Danio rerio: one gene and its partners. The protein of the gene in region 1 binds, or shares a complex with, the protein of each later gene. Links are inferred from orthologs where the notes say so. Each region holds a gene or a part of one and is shown in the gene's direction. Other genes may lie near its edges.

The links.
Region 2: timm21 (region 1) and timm17a share a complex: the UniProt entries of both Homo sapiens proteins name them as parts of the TIM23 complex. The link is inferred for Danio rerio from reciprocal best matches to the Homo sapiens genes TIMM21 and TIMM17A.
Region 3: timm21 (region 1) and timm17b share a complex: the UniProt entries of both Homo sapiens proteins name them as parts of the TIM23 complex. The link is inferred for Danio rerio from reciprocal best matches to the Homo sapiens genes TIMM21 and TIMM17B.

What each region holds. Positions count from the first base shown.
Region 1 is NC_133199.1:17,613,301-17,619,604, forward strand, and holds part of timm21 (mitochondrial import inner membrane translocase subunit Tim21), read left to right. Parts: intron 1-2,306; coding exon 2,307-2,369; intron 2,370-3,751; coding exon 3,752-3,849; intron 3,850-5,965; coding exon 5,966-6,039; intron 6,040-6,125; coding exon 6,126-6,231; intron 6,232-6,304. UniProt on the Homo sapiens protein: Participates in the translocation of transit peptide-containing proteins across the mitochondrial inner membrane.
Region 2 is NC_133186.1:26,971,511-26,979,463, forward strand, and holds the start of timm17a (mitochondrial import inner membrane translocase subunit Tim17-A), read left to right. Parts: upstream 1-3,708; 5' UTR 3,709-3,712; coding exon 3,713-3,738; intron 3,739-5,319; coding exon 5,320-5,419; intron 5,420-5,539; coding exon 5,540-5,603; intron 5,604-6,429; coding exon 6,430-6,558; intron 6,559-7,879; coding exon 7,880-7,953. UniProt on the Homo sapiens protein: Essential component of the TIM23 complex, a complex that mediates the translocation of transit peptide-containing proteins across the mitochondrial inner membrane.
Region 3 is NC_133183.1:54,613,844-54,621,652, reverse strand, and holds the start of timm17b (mitochondrial import inner membrane translocase subunit Tim17-B), read left to right. Parts: upstream 1-3,492; 5' UTR 3,493-3,514; coding exon 3,515-3,540; exon of another isoform or gene 3,541-3,583; intron 3,584-5,866; coding exon 5,867-5,966; intron 5,967-6,056; coding exon 6,057-6,120; intron 6,121-6,262; coding exon 6,263-6,391; intron 6,392-7,690; coding exon 7,691-7,801; intron 7,802-7,809. Other genes in the region: zgc:154046 (Carnitine O-acetyltransferase-like), read right to left, coding at 1,555-1,833, 2,535-2,561. UniProt on the Homo sapiens protein: Essential component of the TIM23 complex, a complex that mediates the translocation of transit peptide-containing proteins across the mitochondrial inner membrane.

The sequences.
Region 1 (6,304 bases):
GTTAAACTTTCAAACTTAAACAAATTATTTATAAACCTAGCAAAAAAATCCTATGTGATTTCTTAACTATAGAATAATGGACATTTATTTTCATAAAAGTTTAACATGACAGTGGTAAACAAGATTACAGGGTGGATATTGGTATGTATTTTTATTTCAAACAGTCAATGAGCTCCTTTATATGGACTTTAGAAGGATATCCTTTATATAGACTGAGAAAGATATTGCTGGTAAAGTATGTGTGTATAAGAGTTGTTACATAAAACTAACTAATTAACAATAAATAAATACATTAAAAAAATACATTTTATTAAATAAATAAAGTGTCAATAAAAAAAGAAAATGATTTGTGACAGGACATTGTTTGGCTAAAGATAGCATTTCTTCAACACATGTTTTACCTGCAGCTGATAAAGTGCCTCCTAAATATGCTCTTTGTACACAGTTTAAAAGCTTAATTTTTTTTTTTTCAGATTTTTAATTTTTTTTATTATTATTTTATTCATTCATATTTCACTGTGACATGGTGGAAATGTTAAGCTTGACAATATTCAGTTTCAAACACAATATGGGGAAAAATAGGAAACGAAAGTTAGTTTAGATACTTACTGTGTGCACAGCAGATAGGCCTGTCATGGTATCTATTTTTTGTGGTTTGATATATAGCAACAAATGTTATTGCGATAAACAATATTATCATTATTTTAAGACCATTTTGACACTATAATAGCATCGTAATGCAAGTACACCCCTCCAAAGAACACAATATTTTATTCTTAAGAATATTTAATTATAGTCATTTTAACAATTTAATAATTAGGTATTGTAATTTCATAGAAAACGTATATCCTAAACAAATAAATAATAATATTAATACTATATACTAATACTATAATAATTAATAGTAAATACTATAGTGTTTTTTTTAACCATACTAACACTGACAGATTATAAACGTAATCAGCTACAATGTGGCTAGAACTAGAATAGTTTTTCATGTATGGGCGATATATGTTGCATCACCAAAAATGATTGAAAACATGTCTGTGTGTTGTACGATAAGTCAATATATTGATTATTGTGACAGGCCGAACAGCAGATGTTTTAACCTCCTCTGTAGAGGGTTTCTTATTCGAGCATTTACTACATTATGATGGAGTGGACAACAATTTTAAGGACCAATGCAAAATGGTTAATAATGTTATGAAAACAAAATAAACGTTATCAAAATGACATATTTTAACAAATAACTTGTTTAAGACTTAACTTGTTTTTTTTTTTAATCTTTTCAATTTTATCTAATTTACCTACTTTTTAGATTCACTGAAGTTGGCTGTGTAGTGTGTGGGACATGGAAAAATCACATTCATTCAGTAAAAGAATATTGGAAAATTTGACAGACATATTTCAAAACACTTCTAATTCTACCCGCTTGTGTGTAAAGGTTTTACCAATTATATTAAAACATCAGAAGTTCATTATTTCGCATTAAGTTCATATAGGACTGATTCAATCATGTGAGACATCAAAGGCACTTTATAGTGATAATAGCCCAAATACATTGTAAACATACAATATACAAAAGGTGTAACAGGGAGAAATGTGTTAACATTTTATGAAGAATGCTATGTAACTGACAATTTTATATCTGTAATGTACTTCAGCAGTAAAAACAAACAAACAACAAAAAAAACATTATTTTTCTGTTATTGTAACTTTGTTCAATTTTTAAAGGGTACTTCCAAAAATTGAAATTATGTCATGATTTACTCACTTAGACTTGTTCTAAATGAGTTAACCTTTTTTTTCCATAAAAGAAGAAGAAATGAAGAAAAGAAGAATGTTGGAAACATTGACTCATTTTTATAATTAGTTAGTAAATGCAGTTAATGTATTACTAAATGCTCAATCTAAATGGTTTATTTGAATCAGAATTTGTTGACCCAATAACAGATGCAATCAGATTGGTCCAGTTTAAAAATGAATAATTCGGTACGATTTGGTACAATGTTTTGGACTCAAATGTAGTAGTAGTGGTAATTAAAAGTAAACATTTTCTAAAATAAAAAAAAAAACTTTAATAAAGTACTGATAGTGAAGTAAACAGTACAGTTTTGATTAAAAAAAATACAAAAGGACTGCCCATCATTGTTAGTTGAGGATTGTTACAAAACAAAATCACAAATAAATCTAGCCATTGTGATTTTATAGGCATTACAAAATTGCAGTAAAATAATATTTGTAAAAATTTACTTGTAGATTGAATTGTAGCTGTTCAGTAAATAAATGTCTCCTTTCCTCAACAGTTAAACAAGCTGGCAAAGATTTCACCTATTTGATCGTAGTGCTCATTGGACTCGGTGTAACAGGTAACCAGGTCTGGATTGACGACTCTTATGTTTCAGGGCCCCATTCTCTGTTCTTACTGTGCCAGAAAACCAACAGAAAGCACCAACATGCATTTCCTAATGATGATAACAGGATGATGTCTAAATAGTGATATTAGTTATATTTTATTCACTTTGGATTTTGTATCAGCAAAATGTTCATTATTGCTAACATAGTAATTAATTTTAGCAACATGCAGGTCATGAGTTTAGACATTCTAGGAATGCTAACCATTTTTGTTATGCTGACAAAATGCTAACTCATTTGCATTAAAACATGCTAATAACAGTATATGTTATGAATATGCTAAAACATACATGTGGCTATGTAGTAAATGGTCATTCGTTCTAGTAATGCTTGCAATGGTTTAAACATGTTAAGAAATTTGCAATGTATTGCTTAAAGACAAAATTATCTGTTTACATATATTATGTAATAACCAAATACTATTTAATAAAAATGCAACAAAATTACTAAAATTAACAACTACTTCATTATAGTTTATTATTGTTCAGTAGTTTTTTTTTTTTTAATGATTTTAGTAATTTTGTGTATGATATTTTTCCACGCACATAGTGATCTTAACAACTTTGAACTCATTCATTAATTTTCTTGTCGGCTTAGTCCCTTTATTAATCTGTGGTCGCCACAGCGGAATGAACCGCCAACTTATCCAGCAAGTTTTTACACAGCGGATGCCCTTCCAGCCGCAACCCATCTCTGGGAAACATCCACACACACTCATACACTACGGACAATTTAGCCTACCCAATTCACCTGTACCGCATGTCTTTGGACTGTGGGGGAAACCAGAGCACCCGGAGGAAACCTACACAAAGGCAGGGAGAACATGCAAACTCCACAAAGAAACGCCAACTGAGCCGAGGTTCGAACCAGCGACCTTCTAGCTGTGAGGCTACAACACTTCCTACTGCGCCATATAACATATAAATAAACAAGTATTTATATTTCATTTCAGCTCCAAAGTCTTTTTTTTTGTTAACGATAACACTGACTCAAATACAATACATGAGACAGACATTATAATCATACAAATCAGTTAAATTCATATGTATTTATATAGCACTTTTTACTATATATATATATATATATATATATATATATATATATATATATATATATATATATATATATATATATATATATATATATATTGTGTCAATACAGCTAGCCATAGTCATAACATGATAAAGCCATCACTTTGCAAAACTGTGGAACCTTTTAGCAATTCAGGCAGGCAGGCAGGTTATAATCATTTCTATGCATATTTTTTTTAATTTGTATATACATATTATTCAGCAGTATAATAAGTGAACCGATTAATGTTTTCTAATCGCTTTAGGTGGCCTGCTGTATGTGGTCTTTCAAGAACTCTTTTCCTCTTCAAGCCCAAGCAAAATCTATGGAAAAGCTTTCGAGAGGTGCAGATCTCATCCAGAGGTCAGTGATTCATTAGCTATATATATCACATATGTGTAAACCTAATGTCTGAAATGCATGAATAAATCAGCCTGTTGACTACAACTTGTGATCTAATCATATTGAGCTAATCATATTCATCTGTAACATATGTTCATAGTTTTTCTACTGTAGTGTGCATACAGTACATCTTTTACCTCATTTAAACATTATAATATGTCTATGTTGAGAGGTAAGCATGATAGAACACCCAATAAAGGGGGAGAGCATGCTCAGAGCCTGGCGGCTAATCAGCAGGCCAAAAACTAGAATAAACAGGTGTTGCTTATTATTTCTGATTGGCCTGCTGATTAGCCGCCGGGCTCTGAGCATGCTCTCCCCCTTTATTGGGTGTTCGATCATGCTTACCTCTCCACAGTCTATATTAAGTAAACCTATAAATTACAGTGCATCCAGAAAGTATTCATAGCGCTTTCCTTTTTCACACATTTTTTTACAGCCTTATTCCGAAGTGAATAAAATTTATTTATTTCCTCAATTCTACACACAATACCCCATAATGACACTGTGAAAAAAAGAGTTTTTGAAATTGTTTAAAATGTATTAAAAATAAAATACCTGAAAAATCACATGAAAATAAGTATTGACAGCCTTTGCCATAAAGCTCTAAATTGAGCTCAGGTATATTCTGTTTCCACTGATCATTCATGAGGTGTTTCAGCAGCTTAATTGGAGTTCACCTGTGGTAAATTCAGTTGATTGGGCATGATTTGAATTTGAAAAGGCATACACCTGTCTATATAAGGTCTCAGGGTTGACAGTGCATGTCAAAACACAAACCAAGCATGAAGACAAAGGAATTGTTTGTAGACCTCAGAGACAGGATTGTCTCCAGACTCGGGAGGGTTGCAGAAAAAAATTCTGCTGCTCTGAAAGTTCCAATGAGCACAGTGGCCTCCATCATGCGTAAGTAGAAGATGTTTAGAATCACCAGGACTCTTCCTAGAGCTGGCCAGCCATCTAAGCTGAGTGATCGGGTGGAAGAGCCTTAGTCAGGGAGGGGATCAGTAACCCGATAGTCACTCTGTCTGAGCTTCAGCGTTCTTCTGTGGAGAGAGGAGAACTTTACAGAAGGACAACCATCTGTGTAGCAAGTAGATCTGTGTATGGTAGATTGGCCAGATGGAAGCCCATCTGGAATTTGCCAAAAGGCATCTGAAGGACTCTCAGAGCATAAGAAACAAAATTCTCTGGTCTGATGAGACATAAATTGAACTCTTTGGAGTGAATGCCATGCGTTACGTTTGGAGAAAACCATGTACTGCTCATCTCCAGGCTAATACCATACCATGTTTTTCAGCCGCAGAAACTGGAAGAATAGTTAGGATAGAGGGAAAGATGAATGCAGCAATGTACAGAGACATCCTGAATGAAAACCTGCTTCAGAGTGCTCTTGACCTCAGACTTGGGCAATGGTTCATCTTCCAGCAGGGTAATGACCCAAAACACACTGCCAAAATATGGAGTGGCTTTACAACAACTCTGTGAATGTTCTTGAGTGGTCCAGCCAGAGCCCAGACTTAAATCCTATTGAACCTTATGGAGAGATCTGAAAATGGCTGTACACCGTTTCTTCCTTTTTAACTTGATAGAGCTTGAGAGGTAGTGCTAGAGGAATGGGCAAAAAATCCCAAAGACCTGTGCCAAGCTTGTGGCGTCATATTCAAAAAGACTTGAGGCTGTAATTGCTGCTAAAGGTGCATAAAAAAGGATTGAACAAAGGCTGTGAATACTTATGTTTATGTGATTTTTCAGGTTTTTTTACTTTTAATAAATTTGCAACAATTTCAAAAACTCTTTTTTGCACATTGTCATTATGGGGTATTGAGTGTAGAATTTTGAGGAAATAAGTGAATTCAATCCATTTTGGAATAAGGCTGTAACATAAAAAAATTTGGAAAAAGTGAAGCGCTATGAATATTTTCCGGATGCATGCACATTTAACTTGAGTATGTTTGCACTCTGGTTAAATGTTAACTGCATTTCGTTACCCTATACTCAACATGTGTATTGACAATAAATAAAATACGTTTAATCGATGTTGATGGTGACTCTATGCTAACCTATATTTGCTAAGGTAATTGGAGCTTTTGGAGAGCCTATTAAAGGCTTTGGGGAAACTAGTAGACGTGGCAGAAGGCAACAAGTCAGGTAAAATACATAATATCAGTAAACTCAAACTCTTCTGTGAGATCTCATATCTCAATTATTACATATTTGTTTTTTTTTTTCTTTAGTCATTTGGAGTACATGAAGGATGGACTCAAGTACATGCGGCTGAAATTCTACATTGAGGGATCTGAACCAGGATTGCGAGGAACTGTTCATTCAGAATCAAAGGAGGTATGATGTAATATCACAAAAAGAAAATAAGTTTGTTTCATGCAAAGATGTGTTTTTTTACAGTTTTTCCTTT
Region 2 (7,953 bases), on another chromosome or scaffold:
AATATTGAGTTTTTCTATGTTCAAAACATGATTTCAATTGATTATGTTAATTTTATGTTATTATATAGTCCTCAAAATAAGGTATAACAATTTGGGGTTGTCAACACATGGGTAAAATATGGAAAAATCCAACTGCTGAGAATAAAAGTGTAAGTTTAATTGAAAAAACAACAACAATGCTGTCCATATTTTACCCAATGTTGGGTTACAAAAACCCAAAACCTTTTTGCACTGTTAAAAAGTATCAGTTGAACTGACTTGTAAAGTTCATTTGATTCAGCAACAAAGAAAATAAGGAATCAACTATTTTTAAAGTGTGAAAGGATGTGTAAATTATGAACAAACATCTTCAATTGGTTATCTTTATGAATATTAGTCACAGAACCTGGAGTATAGTAAGTGACATAGTATAAAACTACAAAATACTAAGCATCTTTTAAATTTACCTCAGCCTAAGTAATTTTATCAAAACATAAATATGCCATGCGTTCTTTCGAGTTCATAACCATAGACAGGATAAATTATATTATTATGTACCAGTTGCAATCCAAACAACTACATTCTCGCCTAAAAAAGCCTCAAAAGTACATTATGTTGTCCGACAGCAGCAATATTTGTCAAACTGTAGTAGGTTTATTTCTTTGCTAGGCACTCTATGTGGACGGAGTAATACACAAGGGTAAAGAGGCTGTACGAGTGCTGTTATTGCAGAATATTGCACGATTATCAGCCAATCAGATTCAACAACCAACGGTTGTATGGATGATTATAGTGAATTCGGAATACCCTTCATACAAGAGGCATAAATAAAGGCATAAAAAAGCCAGTGATCTAATGCATTCCTGGAAATGTCACGAAATTCTGCTTAGCTCATTTGGTCACTGCTAGAATAAAGAACTATACATGAAGCTTATGGTGGACAGCCAAAGTAAACGAACAACATGGGTAACAAAAGAGCCCACCATTTGTTACGTAAGATAATAAATGAACCGGGTTTCAGGTCGCAAATTTCAAAGTCTTATTGTAGAATTATGTTCTTGGGATGAATGACAGATGCTTCTTTCAATGCATAGATTAGAAGTAATTGCTCTGGGGTCTTTCTACTTTTTCTTTCAGAAATGACTTCTCCTTCAAACTCTGGAGGTTGATTGGATTGAAAGCGAGCTAGTTTATATTTTGATTGCCAGGACTAACCCTCAGCACTGCTGAAATGTCTATATTTGGTCATTTCTCGATGCAGGCTCAGTCTGCGTATCATTCCTTCCCTCTTCCTAATAATGGAAACACAGCCAACAGCCTGTCGGACTCAGAGCAAGGCAACATCAAGGAGCAAGAGAGATTCTTGACTTTAACATAGAGCCATTACCCAGCCAAATATTTCTGTTTAGGAAAAACTAGGGCCAGGTCATTTTGATTCACTTGCCACTTGACAACATCTATTTGCAAGATATGAACTTGAATATTGCTTTCTAATAAAAGAAATACAAATAGAATCAATTTGGACACGGTGGCTCAGTGGTTAGCACTGTGGCCTCACAGCAAGAATGGTACAAGACTGGGCCAGTTGGTGTTTCTGTGTGGAGTTTGCATGTTCTCCCTGTGTTGGCTTGGGTTTCCTTCGGGTGCTCTGGTTTCCCCCACAGTTCAAACACTTGTGCTATAGGTGAATTGGGTAAATAAAATTGGCCATAGAGTATGTGTGTGAATAAAGGCAGCTGGAAGGGCAATCTGCTGTGTAAAACATATGCTGGATGAGTTGGTGGTATAAAGAAAATTGAATGAATGAATCAAATAAATTTGCAAGATGAAGTGCTATTAATAACATTTTACACTTTTCAGATATAATTAGATGTTAATTATAAACATCATAAAAATGAGCATTTCCCAGAGATTCCCAGAGGAAGGGCATCCGCTGCGTAAAAACTTGCTTGATAAGTTGCGGGTTCATTCCGCTGTGGCAACCCTGGATAAATGAAGGCACTAAGACGACAAGAAAATAAATGAACGAATGAATAAAAATGAGCAGTGTTGGGGTGTAACTTGTTATTTATAATGGCATTACATAATTTAATAAAATGTAACTGTTGTTATCCATTACAGTTTCTGAAAAATGTAAAATTCAACTAAATTGGTTAAATCTGTATATTTTTTGTAAAAAGCTTCAAGAAGTTAGAAAATATTCCGATTTTTTTCTCTTGTTTAAATTTGTTCAGTTTAGGACAAAGAATAGGAAACATGCCTATTCTATAAATGTTTTGTTTCCTGTAGTTAGTTAGTTCTATATATTTCCTATTAGTGTTGTCGCAATACCACTAGTTCACATTACAATACTTTACCAGCTTAAGTATTGTAATACCAAGTAGTATTGCGATACTGTAATTCATAACTCAAATTTATGAAATAAAGAAAATGATCAGAAAAGCTATTTTATAAGTTATAACAGGCCTACTTGAATTGAATTCATAATTCTCTTATTATTCTAAAATGTATTTGCACATCAATATAATACATTAAAATAAAGATACAAATTATACCGAACAGAATTTATTACAAAAAGAGCAAATTAGGCAATAAAAAGAGGTCAAAAATGGTTTCGATGTTTCCTGTTGCTCTTTTTGTTTTTCATCTATTGTTTTTTATTTTTATTTTTTCCTTATCAGGTAAGAATCCAAAGTAGGCCTAATTATAATTTTTACTTTGTGAGTCGTTGTTTTTAAGAGATTGTTGTGTTTGTTGTAGCTACTAAATCATATTGACAGGAACAGAAATGAACTGATTCAGATGTGCGTTTAAACTGAAGTGTCAAAAATCGTAAAACCATAAAAACCATAAAAGGTGCAAATTTTACACAGTTTTGCAACCTTTGACTGCTTTATTCTAATAAAATGGACTATTGTTGCACAAACTTGTGAGCAATTTAGTGACTTTTCCACACACATTATTTATTGTAGATAGACCATTAATGACGATACTACCATATACAAACTACAGTGGTATTGCCAGTATTTTGGAGCCATAGTGTCACGATACTACCATAGTACCGGTAAATGGTGCAACCATCCTATATAGCCTAGCCAACAGTTATGACAGTGTTTCTTATTAAAGCTATTATTTCAAAACATTAATTATGAAATAAATAAATAAAAACTATTTCATATTATGATTTTAAATTTGTACTTACCATCAGAATGGTTTCAAGGTAAAAAAATAAAATAATGCTACATTATGATTATGTGTTGGCAGTTAAAAACATTTATTAGAAATTTCGAAATGTTATTAAAAAAACACCATCAGTTACATTACTTTCAAAAAGCACTTAAATTAATTAGGTACAACTTTAAATATTGTAACTTGTGATCTTTCTTAAAACTTTAAACCATGAGCAAAAGATCACAAAGATCTCTTTTTTCACCTTTGTTGTTCATAGTGAAAAGAGGAGTCCTCGTAAACTAGAATACTCCCAAGTCTCAGCTGCCGGCAAACGAATGACAACGTCGCGCACCTCTGATGATATATGATAATGATAATATATAATTGAGTCACATTTTGTGACTTTGAATGGTTTGTTGGTTTGTAAAACTTCCTCCACTAGAGGGGCGTCTTTGCAATGTTCACACAGAAAGAACCAGCAGAAAACGCACGAGGAACCTTACGTCACTTGCAGCAACAGCACGTGCTTGGTTACGTCAGTTGTGAACGGGAAAAGAACAAAATGGAGGAGTACGCGAGGGAGCCATGGTGAGCCGACAGCCTCAAACCTATTATTTTATACGTTCAGTGAATGTATATGGTTTTATTTCTCTAACGGTCATACTGTAGTATGTTATTTCTACGCTGTAATTAATTGTCAGGGTGTCTGACGCTCGCAATATTGTGATATGGTGGTTTTGATGGAGGTTTTTTAACACGATGCCCTTCAGTGAAGGCTTCGTGCTGTCAGTGCCGCACATGACCTTGTTCTACCGGCTTTAGAGATCACTAGATTTTGTTTTTGTATAATGTCTTCCAGAAATGTCTGTTGTGTAAATTCGTCGACTGTTAAACGCAGAATATAGATTACAATATACGTTACAGTTATGCTTGCTGGTTTCTGCAAATCACCTGGGTAGCCTTACGGTAAATAACTATGTAGTTATGAAGTAACTATGTAGAATGTAATAACCTTGTTTGGTCCTATTGATCACTGTTGGTTTTATCAGATATGCAATAGGCAAACTATTTTAACAAACTTGTTTTTACTACGAATAATACCAAAAGACGTGTTTTTGTAACGTTGTTTTATCCATGACATAACCACACATTACCCTATGTTAACTACAAAAAAGTTTCTTATTTAGTGAAAACCATAGTAAATGAGGGTGGACGTATAAAGTAAACACTAATGAAATGTCTTATTTATAAAAAAAAAAAAAACTGTTTTTTAAATAATTTCCTGTTATTCAAGCAAATTTGTATTGATAATATTTGTATAATAAATATTTACTGCAAATACCAAGGCTAAGATATGGTTAATGTAGCAAAACTATAGTTATTTCACAGTTAGCATGGTTTATCTACAGAAATCATGTGTTATGCATTTTATTTGTACCACAACCATATAGACGTAAAGTCATTTTTATATTCTCACATTCGTTCAGTGACAACTTGTGACACACTCCCAATGTTGTTTACCATGCCACTTTAAATATTCGGTCTGAAATAAACTGCAGGTATGACTTGAAAACAACATTAACACTGTTTATTTGACTGTTGAAAATGTTGTACTTTGATAGTCATTGGCTGCTAATTAGGCATGGGACGATAACCCTTTTCAAAATATACTACGGTTTGGAAAAGTCAAGGCCAAAATTTACTATAATACCGTTCCTAACGTGTGTGTAAGAGTTTTTATTGACCTTTTGTTTTTTTTAGGAAAACAGTATCTCCAGCAGAAAACCTATCCAAAGATGCAGTTTTTAAAACAAATGAAGACAGTAGAAGTCAATGATTGATTTGAATTATTTAGCCTGACATGTTTACTGCTCCAAAATATTTTAAATCTTTCACAAAATTATATATTGCGTTTAAGGGGGAAAAAGTTTTTGTTTTTCACCCATACATTTAAAAAGAACATATTTTAGAGCAGCGATCACAATCATATTATGAAGGGGAAAGTCTGAATTTGCGAATATAAAACCAACTTTACCTCTATCACAACCATAATACATTTTCATTGGTGATGCGTTTATCATGCTATTTTACTGTTTTGTAAGAACTGCAAGAGTTGTTAGTTGGAAAGATGAACACTACATGTCATGACATCTCTCTGTTGTTTGTCAGTCCCTGGAGGATAGTGGATGACTGTGGGGGCGCCTTCACCATGGGGGCCATCGGTGGAGGGATCTTTCAGGCAGTTAAAGGCTTTAGAAACTCTCCTTCTGTGAGTCATGTTTGATGCTGCTACTAAAGCAATGCTGTTTAACTAAATGATTAGTGCTTGGTTGTACGTTATTGTCCCTGGCGTTAAGGTGAATGTTGTTTTTGTTTTTCATCTTTTTAGGGAATGAATCACAGAATGAAGGGTAGCTTGACAGCCATAAGAACCAGAGCTCCACAACTAGGAGGTAATGATCTTGTTTAAAGTTATTTGTCACATGAGTGATGCAATACTTTTCATAAGGTTTGGGTTTTTTATTTTGTATTGTATTGTTGATTAGCTGATTTAACTATTTGTGTTTGTGTATATTACACAAGTTTGAAAAGGTTTTATTAAAAACACGTTTCATATTAATTTGTTTATTTGCCATCAGCTTTTTAAACTGTGACCAAATTAATATCATAAGATCTGTGAAAATGACTGGAGAAAAAGCAAAGCATTAATTCTTTTAAAAGTTTAATTCACACAAAAACAGGATCAAATAAGATTCAAATAAATAATCTAAAAGGGATCTAAAATAAATATATAAATAAACATTTGATCATTTAATATTTTCTTTAAAATTAATATTAGAAAGTTTTAAATAAATTAAAATAAATTAGTAAATACAGTACATGTATCAAATCTATAATATAATTATTTCACATTGTAAATTTGGTCTTTATTTTAGACCCTATACAAATCCCTTTAAGCCCAAAATATGTTTGGTTTTATATGCACAGCCTTTTCAATTACAGCAAAAAATGATTTAATGTGCTTGTGCAGCCTGTGCATAACATTTTGGACAATGTTTTTTTTTTAAATTAAATTATGAAATATATTTTGAACTTAATGCTGAAGAGCTCCTGGACAAGGATGATAATAATTGGTGGTCTCGTATGTCTAAAAGATTGAATAATGATCTACATCCCACTTTTTTGTGCTTGCTCAAAAATCCATTCAGTGACCATACAGTTTTTTTTTTTTTTTTTTTTTTTTACAACACATGACATTCAATTGTCTTCGAACATCAGGAAGCTTTGCTGTATGGGGTGGCCTGTTCTCCATGATTGATTGTGGGCTGGTGAAAGTGAGAGGCAAAGAAGACCCTTGGAACTCAATCACAAGTGGAGCCATGACAGGAGCCATTTTAGCAGCAAGAAGTGAGTCAAATCCTGATCTAAAGCTGGTAATGCTGTGGTGTCTTTAATCTTTTCTAAAGTATTAACAACACACAGAAATGGTGAGAAGGTGTCTGTAGCTTGTAATAACTCTCCTCAAACCCTTTTCCCAATCTTTCTTCTTACTACTCGGAGTAGAAAAACAAGCCACGGTGACAGTTTTCTCATTTAATATTCTTTTCTTCTAGGAACTGTCATAATACAAAAAAACAAAGAAAAAAATGGTCGCAGCTTTGGGTTTATGTGGACTTTAAAGGGGTGTATTTTTAAGGCTTTGATGTGTTTATGGGGTGCAAAGCAATGTCTACTCATGCTTAAAAATCACATTGTTTTTTTCATGCATCTTACTTTGATTATATACAGCTACTCAGCTAACATGAAAAAGACTCAAATTTCCTAGTTCCTCCAAAAGGTCCGCCCTCAAGAAGCTCTGATTGGTCAGCTAACATAATGTGCTGTGATTCGCAGATCAGCTCCACATCACCAGGAATCATCTCTGTTATAACATTACAGTGCCTCTGGCCACACCCCTTCGCTGCGCGGGGTGTATGTGCGTAAACTGAAGGGTGTATTACATCATTAACCCGGATGTATTTTTTTGTAGTCCCCAAGCTTTGTTCACTGTAGGTTTGTTCACCTAAGCCAATAGCTGCGTCCCAAATTGCATACTTATGCACTATTCTACGCCATTTTGTAGTATAAATAGTGTAAGTAGTGTGTTTACTCTGAAAACTCGAAAAATGTTAAGTGCACTTTAATTACCCGAATAATGCACTCATTTAGCCGGTAAAATGAAGTGTCTAATATTGGACACTTCGCACTTAATGACCGCAGGTTTGCTCACGTAGCGGAAGGGGCAGAGCTATCGGGCGCACATGTTGGATATCTTTATTTTTTTTGGGTGGTGAAAGCAAAATTTTCCCACGAGAGTGATTATAGCGCCTCCTGATGTTGAATGCGGTTATACTCATTGCAGGTATTTGATAGTTTGGTCATTTATTTCACTGATTTAGCAACCGTCGAACGTCATTAGGGAAAGGGTTGGAATTTCCGCTCAGTAAAAAAAAACATTGGTGTTCCATTTGGGACAACACTACATACATATACTATGCTTTTAAATGTGTAAGTGCATAGTGTATAGTGTGCCATTTGAGATGCAGCTGTAGTCTCACTTTGCATTGAACTTTGAGCATTTTACATTCAGAGATGTTGTTTATGTTCACACAGCTACGTCACACATTAACTAAAGTTTAAAATATGATATCGTAGTGGACCACCCCTCTAATCTTCTGTCTTTTCACAGATGGACCAGTGGCCATGGTTGGCTCTGCTGCAATGGGAGGAATACTGCTCGCATTAATAGAAGGTGCTGGAATT
Region 3 (7,809 bases), on another chromosome or scaffold:
AAGTTGCCAGACTGGTCGTACACGGTCACCATCGCTTGAATACGATACCATTTAATTTTAACCCTGAATGGCTTGCACTAAGTTGGCAAGACTTTACAGCTATTTAAAGATTTAAAACTAATTATTATTAGCCTCAAATCTAACGTGACAACTTATTACACTTATTTTTCAATGTTCATCGGTTAAACATGTATAGTGTTTTGGTTTTTCCTTTAGCGATTAGGATTGTGTGACTGTCCACTTTTGGCAGCTAGGGCTTTGACAATTTTGTTTAAATGTTTCATGCTAATGAAATGCTAATGTATTAATGTAAATTAATTTCGAATCAGTACTATAAAGCAAACTAGGGCTGCAACAACGAATTGATTAAAATTGATTACTAAAAGCGATGGCAACGAACTTCATAATAGATTCGCCATGTCGCATGACACAGAGACGTTTGATTATTAAAACAACTTTAGTCTGCTTCTCTCGCGCACTGATGCCAGAGTTCGGCGCCTCATAAACAGGATGGAGCAAAAAAACAGGAGGAGGTAACGTTAGAAGAAAGATACATGCAGAAGAAAAGAGCAACAACAGGATAAATCACTACAGAATTCTACTTTTCCATTTTGAAGTGAGGAACATGACATGAAAAATTCAAACTGAGCTTTGGTGCGTTGGTTGGCACTGAGCCAGAGAAAGACTTGTCATATTATCAAAATTACACACTGTTTTTAACCAGCCAATGCTTATTTTATGTTTTAGACTTGTAAATACACACAAGTACCAGTAAAATAATACATTTAAAGTTTGCAAAACACAAAAGAAAGTCTATGAAATTCTAACAATCCATTTAAATATAATTTGCTGATGTGTATCATTCATATCAGATACGCATAGTGAAAGTAACAATAAGGTTCTATCTATTCTTCTCCAAGCTGGCCAGGCACTTGCTTACATGCATTCTGGGAGTAACTGATGAATATACATGCTGAATCCTGCATGTTTTGCTTTTATGAATGAGACAAACGAGCGTTTAGATCACGGAATAAATCATGATCAAGACCATTTATATGTGCTATGAGCAAGCATGTAAATATTTCGTATTAAAACGGTAAAGCATAATAAAAGGGATACATCTGTCATACATTGTGGCTGTGGTGTGTCACATGACAAACATGAGTGAGTTAAACTTAAAGTCTTTTTAGATATTTGGATTGAAAACTTTTTATTTTATTATTATTATTATTATAACAGCTCAGAGATGTTCAAGGACAACATGTTTGTGCACTTTCTAAAGATTTTAGTTCTGTTTTTTAAAAAAAGGCTGGAAATGAATACTTTTCTTTTTTTTATCCGATTCATCAATTAATCTACAAAATCATTGACAGATTAATCTATTATTAAAATAATTGTTAGTTGCAGCCCTAAAGCAAACTATACGTGGGTCCAAAGTATAGAATTTTGTGCACAGTATCAAAAATACTAAAAAACTATTATTACTAAATTTCACACCAGGAAACCAAGGACACCAGTTGCCCTTACAAATAGACATCCATGCATTATACACACCCAGTTTTCAGTTTTGCGCGCCCGTCTCTCCAAACTCTTTTGAAGTCTCTCTCCTACACCACCAGGTTGTAGAAATTCGTCCATGAGCTTGCATGTGTGTGCCATCTCCTCCTCACTGATTAGTGGTTCGAGCAAGGCCAGATATCGAGAACATGTTTGCTTCAGTGGAGGAACGGGTAGCTTTGGCAGACTTTCTTGATGTAACAGCGACCGGTCAGAAATTTGGACAACTGGTATGGGACTCAGTAGACGGCAATGTTTCACCAGGCCCGTCCTTGCCTAAGAATGCAATTATTATAACAATTATAACTGAACCTGCAATAATCTTCATAAAAATAAAACAATGTATCAGGTTATTTTTAAAATACAGAAACCAATGTGTGTGTGTATTCCTAAATATGAATTTTCCTAAAATTAGCATTTTTTCCCTCAGGCTGTTTGTAGGTTTGTTCATTTAAATTTTATTTCTATGTATGTTATTTTAATCGCCTTTAAGTTACATAACTTTATCCAAAAAAAAAAAGAAAAAAAAAAAGCTAATTTTAGAAGTAGATCTCAGGCAGCACTTTGAGGCTTAATTTTGCATCTGAACTTTGCATGGGACCTTCCAACACAATTCAAATCTAAACTTGTAAGACTGATGGATGCATTATGTCGATCTGCCCCGCTGTCAAAAGTAGGATACATAGTGCCACTGTTCTTGACAACCTCCTTGACATTTTTTGTTGCTGATTTGTCCTCTAATTACGGACCATTTTAACATCTAATAATTCGTTTGTTATGTTTATTGGAACGTAACGTCACATAGTAATAAATAAAATGTCTCAGATTAAGTAAATATAAAGTAAAAACACAATAAATGCTATAGATGGGACGTTGCTGCTACCACTGGCGCATTTGGCAAGGCGTTCGCTTAACTGTTAAAGGCATTGCGTTTATTTAATGTCAGTAAGTTGTATGCTGTAATAAACGGCACTTACCGCTGTTCTGCTTAAGAGACACAGCATAATTCCACGCGAATCCTGTAGATTTCAGTTGACAGCTGAAGTGGGTGTCCCCGACATTATGAGCTTTCAAGGGCGACCAAAACTTTCTTGACAAGTTGCCAGACTAGTCGTACACTGTCGCCCTCGCTTGAATAAGATTGACAACTACAACTAACGTTACCGAGATACCAGTTAATTTTGACCCCGAATAGCTTGCACTGTGTTGACAAGTCTTACGACTGTTTAAAGATTTCAAGACTGTTCAGTAATTAATATACAGTTTTATTAGCCTATAATCTAGAGTGGTCTTTTATTTAGTGGTCAATCGGACTAAAAAAACAAAAAAAAAACATTGCCGTCTATCGGTCTGTGTGACCTGTTTGGACGTTCGCAACGTCATCACTAAGCGACTGTCAATACAACAACAGACTGCGTTCAAAATACTTTTCATAACTCATTGGAAATAACTTATAAAACGCCGTTTTTTAGTCAGACATACGATCTGTAAACTCTGTGAATGTTGCAGAACATTGACATCATATTTGACATAACTTCTCAGGTGGAGCTACTTTATGTGAAACTTTAAATAAAACGCTCTAGTGTTTTGCAGCGCAAAAGGTGTGAGGACGCTAACGTTACCAATAAAGGTTACTTTCGAAAGCATTAATGGCGTCTTTTTTCCTTTTGTTCAGCTGAAATTATTTAATTCTCATTAAATGTAATTTAGATTAACCAGGTTTTAATGTCGCTTGTTTTTAGAATATAATAAAACGTGTTCAGTGTCGACATGAAACATATATAAAATATACTGTTGTTTAGTACAATTTAGCCCATATTAATTAATTAGCAGGCTAACATGTACAATAAATGAAACTCCATAGAGGGTTTATGTACGTGTCCTTTAAAAAGTTTCAGGTTGCTGATCTACCTGTCGCGGACAAAATGCGTAACCGATTTGACGTTAGCTGTTTATCATGGAGGAATATGCCCGTGAACCCTGGTAAAGTACCTGCTGACTTCTGATGAGTCCGTCCGCGCTTCAGGTCACGACAGGACGTATATAATTTTAAGAAGTTTATGATTTCTATTTTCGCTTGGATCGTTTGCTTCTTTGCTGTCATTCTCTCTAAAGTACCCTGCTAAATACTATAACAATTTGTGTAGCTTTGATACATTTCTCGAATCACACACTGGATTGAATGCTTTAGCCTTTATTTATTTATTTATTTATTTATTTATTCAAAATCCTTAGGTCGTCTATCAGATGTATATATGAAAATGAACATACAGTGCCTAATGTTTAGCCGTATTGTAAATCTGTTGTGGGATAATGTATACGTTTTTGATGGAAGATATTTTAAATCACTTTTTTCTGCAAGGCATATGTCATATTGAACAGTGAAAAGTCCTGTTAATGTAAGACATTACTCCAGATATTAAACAATGACCGTGATTTGCATTTACTACAATGAAGAATACCTTTTCTTTTGTAAGTCCATTTTTTCTTTGTATTCTATAGTCTTCAAAAGGAATCATATAAATAATATGGTAGGCTAAATTTAATGCAATCCAAAGTTTTTTTTTTTAATTAACATAACAGACTACTTCAATAAAATGTTACTCAATTTCTCTGGAAAGATATCTAAATGATTAGTTTTATGATCAAATCTTTGTCATTTTTAAAACATCACCCAAAAGCAGTACATTGTGCATATAAGCAAGTAAACTTGTTGTTCACCTTGAAACATTAGTATCAATACCAAATGTATTTACCTAGTTAATTACCTAATAGAAATAATTTAATATTTCACCTTCAAGCAAGGGTTGCACAATTGTTTCAACATTGATATCATGTGCACACCTACAATACTCACATCGCAGGATGTTCAATGTTGAGCTGCGATTATAGTTGAGCAGGAGCTACAGTTCCGAGTACATGAGATTTGTGGGGTCACTGTTGACTTTAACCATGATTTAGTGAAAGTTTATAATTTGCATGTTTTTAAAGCAGTCACAAGAAATAGCACACTTTGTTTTTTATTCAGTACCTGAATACTGCTTGACAACCCAGAAAAACATAAAGCCATGTTTATTTCATTTTACTGTATTTATCTTCTTGTAAGTTGTTTGTTTTTGAATGCATAATTCACTCCCCTGTTGAATTATAAAACAATAGGGGAACAAATAGAACAAAATCAAAGTATTTTTAACTCATTTTTTAAAACATGATAAGGTTGTTTACACAAAATGCTGTATTGGACACATGAATGACTCATTAATGGACTCACTCAAGGATAATTTCCCCCAAAATGTCAATGCTGCAAAACAAACCAAAACTGTTAAACATATTTTTGGAATAACCTATTTTTTATGTTATCAGACAATTATTTTTATCTAAAGAAACTTTAAAGAACTTTTGAAAATTTTTTATTTTTTATCAAAAGTAAACCTTAAAAAAAGTTTCAGATTTTTTATTTTATGCATTATTTATTGCTTTTGATGTCTTTTATTTTTTAGAAACGTGATATTTATAAAATGTTGTCAATTTGATCTGGTTTTTGCCATGATATAGCCGGAGAAGCTGAAGTGACAATAAATTTAAATATAGTCCAGCCTAAATATAGTGCAGCCTATTCACTTGCATTGCACTAATTAATATAGTGCAGCCTACTTTTTATACACAAACACACACAAATGAAGTCAGAATTATTGGCCCCCTGTTACTTTTTCCCCAATTTTATTGACTTATTTCTAATGCCTGATTTATCTTTGCCATGATGCCAGTAAATAATATTTTACTAGATATTTTTGAAGACACTTTTGTACAGCTTAATGGGACATTTAAAGGCTTACTGTTAAACATAGTTTGTGAAAAAAATTAAAAGTAAAATAAAATTAAAAGGGTAACTAAAAATTCTGTGTTTCTGACTTCAACTGTGTGTGTGTGTAAATATATATATATATATATATATATATACATACATACATATATATATATATATATATATATATATATATATATATATACATATACATACACACACACACATATATACACACGCACACATACATATATATATATATATATATACATTTGCTTATATATATATATATATATATATATATATATATATATATATATATATATATATATATATATACATACATAAGCAAAGACCTTGGATTGTGTACAGTAATTGATGTTTCTCTTCAAAGTTATTTTAGATGATTTGAAGATTATTTCGGTAATTTTGAGTCTATTGAATTGATTAATTAAGGTACAGTATATAATGCAGTTGACTTCTAACAGGTAATTTTCTTTTTAGCCCATGGAGGATAGTTGATGACTGTGGGGGTGCTTTTACCATGGGAGCCATTGGAGGAGGGGTGTTTCAGACTGTCAAAGGATTTCGGAATGCACCTGTGGTATGTTTTACTGTCAAACAGACGACTCCGCTATTACCAAAACACAATGCAATGCATTTATTATAAAAGAAAAATACTGTATTTTTATAGGGTGTTCGACACAGGTTAAGAGGTAGCGCAAATGCAGTGAGAGTAAGGGCACCACAAATTGGAGGCGAGTATTCAGAATTTTTTTTTATTGTTTTGTTGTTTCTCTGTTTTTGTACTGCATATGACAATTAAAAATTTGTTTAGCAGTTATTCATTATAAATTACAGCGTGTGTGTGTGTGTGTGTGTGTGTGTGTGTGTTTGTAGGTAGTTTTGCTGTTTGGGGAGGACTGTTTTCAACCATAGACTGTGGTCTTGTGCGTTTGCGGGGTAAGGAAGACCCTTGGAACTCCATTACCAGTGGGGCAATGACCGGAGCTATACTAGCAGCACGTAGTAAGTTTAGCACAGTTATTATAACTCTGTTAGAATTTGAAGGTAATGACACATATAATGTTGTCAAGCAAACTTTCACTAGGACAATTCATGAGAGTGGTGTTTTAAAACTGACCAAACACTGCATTTAAGTTGGACATGCAAATTCATCTTGTTCACAAAGAGAAATCTGTTTGATTTGAAAATGAATTCTTTGTGAGGTGTGCTTTATGCATGAAAAACAATGGGCCCTATCATACACCCAGCGCAATAAGGTGCAAGACTTGTTTGCACCGACGTGTTGCTAATTTCAGATCAATGCAACTCTAGCATTAAGTAGCAAATCCATTTGTGCCACTTTGTGGACTCATAGGTGTTTCATTCTAGAAAAGAAGTGCGTTAAGGAGCTTTGTTGGCGTGTTGCTATTTTGAGGAACTAAATTAGACTGTAATTGACCAGCTAAAAGCAAGTCTAAAGTCCAGCGCAGAGCGCGTTTGTTGTGTGCCCCACTTACACATTGCTTGATACACGCAAGATGGAATACACAAATATCTTTACAAATGAAAGAATTAAAAGATTTAAATATTACAAAACTTATTATTTTCTACATAAATATAAAAAACACTGCCTCCATGTCTTCTTTATCTCAGGGGGCTTTTTTAGTTTAAGTTTTTGCTTTTGTAAAATGTTATTATTAGTAGTAGTATTACTTATTATATGATTATTTTTATCTGTTTTATTTTTTAAAAAAGCTTGGATTTGCCCACCCCTCAGGTTTTGGACCATATAGGGCATAGCACATTTGTTTGGATATAACTGACCACACTTCATTATTATTGCTTATTTATTCATTTTCTGGAAATTGAACTGAATTTGTAAATAGTTTTGAAACAAATCTTTGCGCTTAACAAACAAAATTAAATATTTTGACTCATACAACACCGTTTCCTTATCCACGAAATAGAGAAAGTGAAAGTAAAGGCCAATTATAGCAGGCTCATTCTTTATCCTTGCGCTGCAGATGGTCTGTTTAGCTGCTTTCTCGCGAGTGAAGCTTTCAGTTTTTCCACTTACAAAGTCCGCCATGTAAATAGCAAATGTGCCATGGGGTGATGCAACTGACTCTTAAAGGGAATGGGAGATGAGACTCTGATTGGTTTGTCCTCAAAACACACCCATTACTCATTAAGAAAATAAGCAAAACCCTGTAGTATTACTGTCGTAATAGTTCATCATTAATCTGCACTCTTTAAGCTACCTCTGGTTTATGAGTTTGCAAGATGGAAAATATTTGCATTACTTGCATGTTTGTATTTCAGGTGGTCCCCTCGCTATGGTGGGCTCTGCAATGATGGGTGGAATTCTGCTTGCCCTAATTGAGGGCTTTGGGATTCTTCTTACTAGATACACAGCACAGCAGTTTCAGAATTGTGAGTTA